Linked DNA regions of Canis lupus familiaris. The protein of the gene in region 2 interacts with the protein of the main gene of each other region in a pairwise test. Links are inferred from orthologs where the notes say so. Each region holds a gene or a part of one and is shown on either strand. Other genes may lie near its edges.

What was found. The genes of interacting proteins can lie anywhere in the genome.
Region 1: the proteins of PLSCR1 (region 2) and CCER1 interact in a two-hybrid assay, tested with the Homo sapiens proteins (2 studies listed by BioGRID and IntAct). The two-hybrid records come from large-scale screens. The link is inferred for Canis lupus familiaris from reciprocal best matches to the Homo sapiens genes PLSCR1 and CCER1.
Region 3: the proteins of PLSCR1 (region 2) and MVP interact in a two-hybrid assay, tested with the Homo sapiens proteins (2 studies listed by BioGRID and IntAct). The link is inferred for Canis lupus familiaris from reciprocal best matches to the Homo sapiens genes PLSCR1 and MVP.

What each region holds. Positions count from the first base shown.
Region 1 is NC_049236.1:31,966,000-31,969,611, forward strand, and holds CCER1 (coiled-coil domain-containing glutamate-rich protein 1), read right to left. Parts: upstream 2,443-3,612; 5' UTR 2,311-2,442; intron 2,182-2,310; 5' UTR 1,951-2,181; coding exon 1,273-1,950; intron 901-1,272; coding exon 610-900; 3' UTR 501-609; downstream 1-500. UniProt on the Homo sapiens protein: Regulator of histone epigenetic modifications and chromatin compaction into the sperm head, required for histone-to-protamine (HTP) transition.
Region 2 is NC_049244.1:42,176,495-42,179,994, forward strand, and holds part of PLSCR1 (phospholipid scramblase 1), read right to left. Parts: intron 3,307-3,500; coding exon 3,264-3,306; intron 449-3,263; coding exon 228-448; intron 1-227. UniProt on the Homo sapiens protein: Catalyzes calcium-induced ATP-independent rapid bidirectional and non-specific movement of phospholipids (lipid scrambling or lipid flip-flop) between the inner and outer leaflet of the plasma membrane resulting in collapse of the phospholipid asymmetry which leads to phosphatidylserine externalization on the cell surface.
Region 3 is NC_049227.1:18,042,823-18,046,790, reverse strand, and holds the start of MVP (major vault protein), read right to left. Parts: upstream 2,801-3,968; 5' UTR 2,645-2,800; intron 1-2,644. Other genes in the region: PAGR1 (PAXIP1-associated glutamate-rich protein 1), read right to left, coding at 3,353-3,552. UniProt on the Homo sapiens protein: Required for normal vault structure. Vaults are multi-subunit structures that may act as scaffolds for proteins involved in signal transduction. Vaults may also play a role in nucleo-cytoplasmic transport.

The sequences.
Region 1 (3,612 bases), on a different chromosome or scaffold from region 2:
GAGTGATGCCACGAGAGACAAGTGGGGTTAGCAAATTACAACCCTCAAAAACGAACTCTGAAGGTGGAGAATCTACGAGGAAAAATATTTTTTTGAAATATAGACATTCTTACATGGTGTCACTATGATGTTAAGAGCACTGACAGACATTCAGCAGCTACCGCGTGGGCTCCTGAAGCATGTAACCGCCAAAAAACCTGTTGATTCCAAGCTCAACTGTCTACTTGACAGTTGAATAAATCTGTTACCAAAGAAACAAAACCAAAACCAAAACAAAAAAGCACCCTAGAAAAACCTTCCAGCATTGCCAGAACTTAAAAAAAAAAAAAAATTGCCAGAATTGAAAAAAAAATCTTGTGTCTAGAGAGGAAAACACCAAATGAAACCATTCAAACTGCAGTAATAAAATATTTGGCCTTTAATCATTTCCGATTAAATTATATTTGAAAGCTGCCCCTCCCCCACCCATACTCATACACAAACACACCAGTTTCTGAACATTTTATGATGGCCAAAGAAGGGGTTTCCACTGGTATGTTTATTAATGGAACTCTTTTTTTTTTTTTTTTTTGGAACTGGTTTTCAATAAGTGGCTATTCCATTTTAGCCTCACATCAGTTCCATCCCATCCTCAATCCTTTTCCTGCTAACAGTTAATGTCTCAACCACGAGGAGGGCTTCCTGGGCCACTCTAGGAATGATCTGCTTGGGGCTTAAATAAGCACAGTTTAGAAAGTTCTCTCTCTCTTCCTCGGGCCCCACTAGGAACGACAAAGGCATTTGCAGAGGTAAATGGTTCTCTTCCTCTCTCGGCTCCTCCTCCTCCACGGCCTCCTCTTCTGTCTCCTCCTCCTCCTCCTGATCCTCCTCCTCCTCCTCCTGGTCCTCCTCCCCCTCCTCCCCCTCCTCCTCCTCCTGCTCCTCCTCCCCCTCCTCCACACAGTCAGCCTCTTCGACCTCCTCCTCTTCATCATCTGAGGCCTCTTCCTCCTCCTCCTCCTCCTGGCTCTCCTCCTCCTTCCCATCACACTCCTCGTTGTCACACTCGCACTCGCACTCCTCCCCCTCCTCCCCCTGCTCCTCCTGCCCCAGCGGTGCGGCGGGAGACCCGAGCTCCCGGTCGGGGTCGGGACTGAAGACGAGCGACGGGTCCTGCACGCCGCCGTACGGAGCGCCCCACGGGCCGGCGTCCTCCTCCTCCTCCTCCTCCTCCCGGTCCTCCTCCTCCTCCCGGTCCTCCTCCTCCCCCTCCCCCTCCTCGCCGCGGGGGGCCTCGTCGCTCTGGGAGGAGCCCCCGGGGGCGGCCTGCTGCCTCCGCAGCGCCTCCTGCTGGCGCTCCAGCTCCTCCTGCCGCATGTCCTCGTAGATCTGGTTCATGATGAACTGCGTGGTGTTGCGCGGCGCCCGCATGCCCGGCGCGCGCCACCCGTACAGGTTGACGGGCCGGAGCAGGGTGCTCAGCGCGGCGGGCGGGCGCGGCGGGGAGGGGCGGCGAGGCGGGCGGCGCGGGCCTCGACCCCGGCGGCCCCAGCGCTTCCTCCTGCCCGGGGGCCGCGCCCAGCCGCGCTTCCAGGGCCCGCGCCAGCACGAGCAGCAGCACAGGCAGACGGGGTGCAGGCCGTACACCCGGATCACTTGCACGCGGCCGGGCCGCCGCCAGAAGCCCCCGGGGGGCGGGCGCCAGGGCCCCCCGCGGCGCCCCCCGTTAGGGGACACGGCCCAGTAGGGCCGTCGGGGTGGCTGGAACCACGGGCCCGGGCCGTGCTGCTGCTTCGGCTGTTTCCAGGGGGGCTCATACTCAGACTTGGGGCCGTAGCGGCGGCGCCGCTTGTAAATCGGGGCGCCCCTGCGCCTTCGGTGGCAGGTGGACCAGGTGCGCAACGGGGCGGGGGGCGCCCAGCCGCCGCCCAGGTTACGAGGCTCCTCCCGTGTGTAGAGGGTCTGGGTCATCGCTCACGGAGCTCGGGGAGGTGGAAGCGGAAGCGCCCCGGAAGCTGCGGTCGTTTGGCCCGAGCCGAGGGTGTGCAGAGCCTCGGGTGTGCAGAGCCTCGTCCGCCTGCGCGGCGGCAGCACGTGCCGGTCTCCGTCCGCTCCGCTCGCTCGCTCGCTCGCGCTTGCTCCGCAGTCTCTCGTCCTGCGCCCCCGAGCGGTCCGGCCCAGGTGGGCTGGGGCTGGGTAAGGCTGGGGAGGGAGGGGGGGACGAAGGTGGTGGTGGGCGACGCACGGGGACACCCGCTCCCGGGGCCCCCCACGCCCGCCTCGGCGGAGGCGCCGGGAGCCTGGGAGCCGGGCAGGCCGGGGTGCGCGTACCTGGCGGCTCCCTCCCCACCCAGGCGCTTCCCCGTCGGGCCCGGGACCCGGCGGGACTGAGCGGGCGCGGGCGGCGCGGCCTTTAAATAGTGGCCGGAGGCCCCGCGTGCCCACCGCGTCCTTGGTTGCCCGGGGCGACAGCCAATCGGGGTCCAGGTCGTTCTCCTTGGGCGACGGGGGGCGGTTCGGGTGGAACCAGGTGCCGCGCGAGGGTTCGCAGGGGGCTTGTGACGCAGGATTTGAAAGGGGGCGACGGGGCCCGAGGCTGGGGGCAGTGCTCCCCAACTCCGAGGACGCTCGGGGCCGGTTCATGTGAAACCTGCGCACCACCTGGGGGTGCGGGGATGAGGCACCTGGGCCTAGAGTTGAACCTCTTGGCAGCGGGGTGTGGGGTTCGGGGTGGGGGACCTACCTTGTACATTGCAAAACATGCATCCTACACTTGGGGAGGTGGAAGGCCTAGAGGGGAAAGTGCCTGGTGTCAGGAAACTGGGCCCCACTCGTACCTTGGGGGCCGTGCACACTCCCCTAGCGCCTGGCAGTTGCAGCACCTCGTTCGTGAAACGCGAGCGCACACCCTGCTAGCCGTGCTGGCTCCCCGGGGGCCCCGGGCACACAGTCCTTAGGCCCGCGGGCTCTGTGAGCTTGGCATCGCCACCGCGCCCCCCAGCTCAGGGAATCCAGAAGTTAGTTTACCCGAGGTGGTCGGGATGAGGAGCTTTGCGGCCAGTATTCATTCATTCACTCATTTATTAAAGATTTTATTTATTTATTCATGAGAGACACACAGAGAAAGGCAGAGACATAGGCAGAGAGAGAAGCAGGCTCCGCATGGGGAACCCAATGGGGGACTGGATCCCAGGATCCCCGGACCACCCCTGAGCCAAAGGCAGATGCTCCACCACTGAGCCACCCAGGTGCCCTGGGGCCAGTATTTAAACCTCAGGCAGTTTGGCCCCCAACCCCAAATTCTTAACCATATGGCTGCGCTGGACTGCCCATTCACCCTTAAATAGGACTTTTGGGATGCGGACACGAAATCCTATGGGAAAACACTTTAGTAATTACGCTATGGCATGCAAATGTCCACTGCTTAAATAAATCATCCCAGGATGTCTGAGGGTGGTGGTGGTTATTCTTGGGAATACAAATATGCCAATGGCCTCTTTTCGGATGTCCCTTTGTCTACCAGATGGCACATACTCTGGGAGCCTTTATAACATTGCGGTGAAGAATATGGGCTTTGATTTACATTAGCATGAACCTACTCTGAATGATACCATAATAGTGGTGGACATATGT
Region 2 (3,500 bases):
GAAGATCAAGAAGCCTGGTCTCAGATCTCTGATCTCAACCCCATGAGACAGACACACTACTCATGGCCATGAGGCTAACTGCTCATTGTTTTTCACCTGCCTTTCTTCTTGGACAATTTATTCTCAAGTATAAACCAATAAGCTTATGGATCAATTTTCCTTTAAATCTCATTTGATTACATAAATTCAATAAAAGGGTAACAATTCTTACTGAACTACTCACTGACCTCCTGAAGGCAGCAAGGGCAACAACAGCTGCCACACCTTAGTGGTCTCTCCAGAGTTATAACTTCTTGGCCCATATTATCAAGAATCCTTATGGTAAAAGGCCTAGAAGCTCCACAGCAATTTCGGGTACAGAAATCCGTATCCTCTGCTGCAAAGTAAATCCTCTGTCCAAAGCTGTTCTTAATTTCATATTTGTTATTAGTTTCAAAACCTGTTATGACTAAAAACATAAGAGAGGGAATCATTATGACCATTATACTAAAAGAATATCGAATCTATCCTAAGATACTATATCCTACCATTTGTAGATCATACTTTAACAAAAAGGAAAGGTGTTTAGAGATGATCTAGATAGAGGATAAAAGATAAAGGGAAAAAAGAAGGAGAAGGTATTAAGGAACAGAGAAATTAAAGTCTCTGTGTAAGACAGGGAAAAGAAAACTCCTATCTTCTTAATTCCATAGTCTCATGTCAGAAAGACAGACTGCTTCTGAGGGATGGTACAGTGATGTAGATGGTCATAGCTTGCTTTGTGCATGCAGAAAATATCCACTTGCTTGGTATAGTTTTCTAATATTCAATTATATAAGGGAATATAGGATGGTTGCTATGTTCATACTCTATGAAATATTCTGTTGAATAAATTGGCTTGAGTTTTTTTATATATAATATTCATGGCTTATGTTTTTGCACTGTGTGATGGTGAGTAATGACAGGGCTTACTCTTAATGCACACTTGTGCATTAAGAAAGGGAGGGGGTTAAAATGGAGGGTGAATTAGAACATCACATTGGGCTCAGAGCACCCTGGTTTAAGATTTGCTCTACTGGCCTTTGCACATTTTTTAATCTCCATATTTATGAAAAATGTCTAAATTGTTAAGGAACTCTTTCTTAAACCCTTTTAAAAATAGTGGGTTGGATGAAGGAACACAGCTCTGATCAGTGGTGCAATTTCCAAATATGAGTAGCAATGCTGCCAAAATGGAAAAAAAAAATGGTTTAGCTTAGCGGTAGTTATTCAGAAGTGGGTGATGGGTATTAGACAATGGGAAGAGGTGCTTCGCAACCAAGGCTGCAACTCAATAGGCTATCTAGACCACTGGCATCCTACGTAAATTCTGTACTCTGGAGGAGGCTAATCTTTTCACAAGGGGACAGAGGTATGCTAAATGCTGATGTCCATGTGACATCTTACCAATGGGCTCCTATACTGAATCACACATTGCAAACCTCTCCTTGCTTAGAGCCAGGGGAACATTAACAGTCCTACTAGTCTACAGTCCTCATTAACGTGGGTCATGAGATGCCAGAAAGCCACCAATATATAATGAATGATAGAGAGATACATATGGAGACAAAAAATATTCTCTAATATCTGTGTGGATAGACTTAGTCAGATATAGATGTCCTTCATAAATTCTATGATCATGGCCTCTCTTAAGTATCTTAGCTGGCTTCAGCCAGCCTTTGGATTTTTAAAAGAACCACCCTTGACCTCAACATCTGCCAGTCAAGTGCTGTGTAAGAAAAAAATTAAACTGATTCGTAACATGGAGTCTGTTATCTAAATGTTTCATTAGCTAGCTTAATCTCAAATTCTTAGCTAGTTTATCTGTAAAATGAGATGAATGGGTTTACACAATCTCTAAGTTACCTTCTAGTTACAAAATGAGAATGAAATAAGACTTCTATGGTCATCATTACTGTCTATAAAGTTTTGAATTGGGAAGTGTGTAAGTGCCTGTCATACACTCAGATGGTAAAAATAAATGGAATAATCTCCATCTCTTTATGCTATCATGTTACAATATATACTTTCATTGAGATGAAGAGAAAAGAAGAAAATTGAAGACATCACTATTAGAAAACTGAAGAATAACTATAAATTTTGAACTTACTTTACCTTTCATGATATGTATAAAACTTATACATTTAAAAACTATAAATGGGGAGTGCTTTATGATGTACAGTATCTGGTTTGGTTTGATTTTATGACATCAAAAATAAATTTCTTAAAACATTAAAAAATTCAAAGTACTAATTATCAAGCAACAAAGAATGCCTTTCCAGGGAAAACTTAGTATTAACTAAAAACACGCATATTATAAATATCTAACAACGTACATTATAAGCAATTTATTACTTTTTTTTCATTATAAGCAATTTAAATAAAACAGGCAAAACTAAATCTATTATTCTGCTCTTACTATTCATAGTTATAATTTCTATCATTGGAAACAAACTTTGCAGAGAGATGAAGGACTTAACAGATATATTATAAACTCTAGCTGAGCGTTCATTACTCTTTATATCTAGAAGAAAGACACCATGGTTCATGAAGGCATCTAGGTTCTCTTTCCCCTGGTAAGAGTCTTGAAGCATCTGGTGGCTTCTTAAGTTTACCTTGCACCTCAGGAGTGCTGTACCCAAGGAAATATTTATTTGCCATTCACATGAGCAGGAGTGCTGTTTTAAGAAGCCAGGCCTCCAAGCCTACTGATCAGCATCCTCCAACAATGCATTAGCCCTGCACCCAAGGTGATAATCCACAGCCCACAGAACAAAGGTCTTACAAGGTTCATATGAACTCCTGATATAAATTGTTGGCAAGAATACATTTTCCAAAACATACCCATCCAAATTGAAGGACTTTCCTGGCTTTAGAAATGTACCAAGGTAACTGAACTAGTGCATATGGTTCTGTGTCAGCATCAAGATCATGTCAGGCTGGAGAAAACAGCTGAAATGATTTCTAGAGGGAAGTGGGAGCAAAAGTACTTTTGATGGGCTTCCTTCTAAGTTGGCATGAGGATGGATGCTCAGAATAATGGTGTTTTACAAGTTGACTTCTAATTTCCAGAAATGTGCCACTGATAATTGCCATCATTTCATTATCATGAAGAAAGACATTTGTAAATAATCAGATTTAACTGTTCCACATCAGTGAAAGTGTTATATTTGTGGTTGCTGATATGCTTTTATCTGTAAAAACATCTTCTTTCTAGAAATATGGTCAATAAAATGAATACATACCTTCCAGAAGCTCAATTTGCTGATGAATCAGTATTTGATCTATCTATTATAGTAAAAAAAAAAAAAAGACGATATTTTCATTCTTTTTATACCAAAATTAATATTTGTGTTTTCTATTTTAAGGAACGTATATAATAAATTGTCAATATTTATCAATATTTAATAATATCATGTCTTACTTCTAAACTTTTATACCTAAAGGTATAAAATTAAAGTTAATATATCTTTAATTGAAAA
Region 3 (3,968 bases), on a different chromosome or scaffold from region 2:
GCTCAAAGCTCAGTGCAGTCTGCTTGGGACTGCCTCTCCCTCTGCCCCTCCGCTTGCACATGTGCTCTCTCTTGCTCTAAATAAAATATCTTTTAAAAAATAGAAAAAAAGGTTGAGGCTACACAGACTGAGCCATCCGGGCATCCTGACCATTACTATATTTAAAAGCTTCCCCACTAAATCTAATACACAGCAAGGACTGAACTCTCATTATCTTGGGCCACTTGCTAACTCTGAGCCGGAGTGTCCTAGACTGAGAAGTGGAAAGAAAAGGGACTATTTCCTGGGCTTGAAGAGATTAGTGGCCACAGGGTATCTCTAGTGCACAGGCTCAAAGTAGGGGGCTGGGAGGAAGGAGGGAGATTTAAAGACAAGCTCAGATTACAGACTGCTCCTCAAGGGCAGGGCATTTGGCATTTGGTTATTCACCTCCAGCCCAATCCACTGCCAGGCCCAGGGACCCCCTAGCCAATGCAAGTCCCCTGCCCCACGCAGCCTGAAGTTGGAGGGGAGGCCGGTGGCCCAGCCTGCCACTATCACCTCTATCAAACTCAGGTTTAGGGGTCCCTGGGTGGCGCAGCAGTTTGGCGCCTGCCTTTGGCCCAGGGCACGATCCTGGAGACCCAGGATCGAATCCCACATCGGGCTCCCGGTGCATGCAGCCTGCTTCTCCCTCTGCCTGTGTCTCTGCCTCTCTTTCTCTCTGTAACTATCATAAATAAATAAAAATTTAAAAAAAACAAAAAAAAAAAAACCTCAGGTTTAGGAAAATGCACGATGCCTAGCATAAACAAGGGCTCATTATTGCAGTTTCCCTGATTTTAAACATTCTAGACTTTGGGGAAGGCCAGAAGCCTTCACTATGCACAGATGTTTATACGCTGGTTTAGTTTAGGGAAATTATTTTCTGCTTTAGGGGACTTTTGAGAACTTGTCTCATACTGACCACAACTGTGTAAGAGCAAAGTTTTAGGAACTTTCCTTCCTAGGGAAGACTTATCTGAGCTCCAGTCCAACTACTTTGTGGGAGGAGCAGCTTGGTGGCCTCACTGGAGCCACAACACATCTGCCAGCTCAGAATGCTTCTTGTCCTATCTCCCGGACACTAATTAATGCTCATCACTGAAGGCAATGATTGCCTAGTTGAGAAGTGACCCAGGAACCAGGCTTCACAATTCCTGATCCAGATCAGTGTTTTCTAAGCTCACTCCATCATAAGACCCAGCTGAGAGCATTGCTCCTGTTCATGCGGATTCCCAGGCCTCACCCAGACCAGCTGAGTTTCCAGGAGGCTCCGGAACATGTATCTTTGGCAAGAGCCCCCAAATAACAGCTCCCACTTATTAAGGAATTAACCTGTGCTAGGTGTTGTGTGCCTTTTAACTCATTCATCTAATCCTCACAGGAACCTAGAAGTTAAGGAATTTTGCACAACGGTCAAAGGACAGGGTCAGAATCCTGTCTCTTACCCTACCTGCAGAGCTCCCAAACCAGGAAGTAGCCTGGCTTCTTGGCACAAAACAGGGACCTAAGACCAGGGAGGGAGTTGCGGGGGGCGGGGGGGGGGGGGGGGCGCTGCAGGTAGCCTCCAACAAACAAGGAGGCCCAAGTTCTTGGAGCCCGGGGTGGGGGTGGGGGGGTCAAGGGGCATCCACTCAAGGTGGCTCCTCTACCAGCTCCTGCCTCTGGAGAGCTGCCTCGCCCAGAAAGCTTCACCCCAGGTCAGGCCTGTGTGCCAAGGGCGGAAACAGGCAGGAGTTCCCAGGGAGCACACAGGCTGGCACCCCATGTAACAGAAGGCTTCCCCCTCACAATCCAGGGTCCCCCCAGGGCAAGGAGCAGACAACACAGGGACATCTGTCTCAACCCACTGTCTCCCACCCCTCCAGACTTCACTCAAGAAGAGCCAACCCTAAGATGTCCACAATCACAGACTGGCAAGCCCAAAGGAATTTTGGGTTCCTTCATTTCTCCCAAAGAGAAAAAGAGCCTTGCTCAACAACCAACCCCCACACCTTCTAGAAGTCCAGCCTACCTCAAATTGCTTTCCTAACCACTTCCCACATGGTCCCACATTGGCATAGCCTTTAGTGAGGCAATAGGAAAGCTTCATTTGGCAGAGATGAAGGATCCCGGGGGCAGGGGTAGGGAGAAATCACATTCTAAAAGCTCAAGAGAGGGATCCCGGGGTGGCTCAGCTGTTTAGCGCCTGCCTTTGGCCCAGGGCGTGGTCCTGGAGTCCGGGGATCGAGTCCCACGTCGGGCAACCTGCATGGAGCCTGCTTCTCCCTGTCTCTGCCTCTCACTGTCTCTCATGAACAAAAAAAAAAAAAAAAAAAAAAAAAAACTTTAAAAAATAAATAAAGGCTCTAGAGGACAGGCCAGAGCCCAGGCCAGCCCCAAGGGGGAGCAGACAGCAGGGACCCAGGAGGGAGTATAAATGGACCCACTTTCCTCTGGCCCTTACTTCTGATGTGGGAGCCCCTGAAGTCGAGAGGCCTGAGATTTTGGGGGGTAGGGAGTGTTGGCAAGGTAACAAGTTGACCAACCTTTACTTTCAAAATACAGAAAAAAGAAAAAAAATCCAACAAGGAACGTAAGCCTCCACCCACCTTCTTCCTCCTCAGGGTCAGAGAGGTCTTACCTGCCCCGGCAGAAGCAAGCGGCCCTAGAAGGCAGGACCAGGCTCAGAGAGCCTGGAGGGACACAAGGCCCCACCACTGGTTTAGGGGTGTTTAGGACCAGTACGAAGTATACCCGGAAGGGTGTCCGCTGCCACAGATCCCTCAGATGGGGGAACTCCCTGGCCCAACCCCAGGGATCACTTCCTGACAGAGGAGGGCAAGCTTGGGGGTGGGGCTTGGCCATTTAAAGAGCCCTTGCAGCTGTTTGTCTCCTTTTTTTCCTATGGGCGGCTCCTCTGGCAGCTGAAGGCACTGCAGCCCTTTCAGCCCTCAGGAAGGTCCCGCCTCAGAGCCAGCTGGCAGCACTGGAACGAGAATTGGGGGCAGGTGCTGAGCTCATCTCTGTCCCATGTGGCTTTAATTTTCATTTCCCCACCTGAGTGACTAGGATCCTGATCCGGCTGCTCCAGAACTGGGTTCCTGCTGCAGCCCACCCTCTAGGAGAAAATAACTTTGTGTTTTTTTTATTCTAGATTCCAAAAATTCAGCCCAGGTCTCCAAATAAATGTTCAACAGAAAGCATAAATACACACACATGTCCTCTTTCTGGCAAGGTGCGGTGTTGGGAGCTTGGGAGCTCTCTCCTCTTGCCCAGTTCCCAGTGCCCAGAGTTAGGGAAGGAGAGCCCAGAAGGTATAAGCTCTGCACGCTAAAGGCTGCAACAACACTCAATATTTCCGTTGCCGGGGGAAGAGTGTGCTCCCTGAGGACCGGAGCGGGGGGCTGGTGGGGCTGGGGTCCTCTGAGTCCAGGCTGAAGAGATCCCTGCCAGTACGAAGGATCTGCTCCTCCAGCTTCTTGTGTCGCTTCATGTCTGAGAGGACCTTGTCTAGGCGGGCCTCCCGTTTCTGGCTCCGGGCGGAACTTCCTGGAGAAGAGGAAGGTAAGAAATGTGGACGGGAGTGAGGTGCTGTGCTCCAGACCTGCCTACATATTACTCATTGCTTAGGGAGCTCATTAAACAGAGATTTTCAGGTCTCTGTCACAGAGGTTGTAGGATTTGAGGTTGGGCCTCAGATGGGGTAAGCAGTAAAGGGCTGACTTACAAGAAGGAGCCAGTAATGTGAAAACCAAGGTAAAGATATCCAGGCAGGGGAAGAGCAAGTGGAAAGGCCCCAGAGCAGGAACAGGGAGGTTTGTTCAAAGGGTATAGAGAGCTGGGGTATGGCAGGGAGAAGGAAAGTTGTGGCTCAAGAAACGACTCTGAGGCCATGATGAAAGTTTGGATATCTTAGGTCAAACGGAAATAAATTATCTTTGGAAACTTTGGCGGCCCAAAAAAAG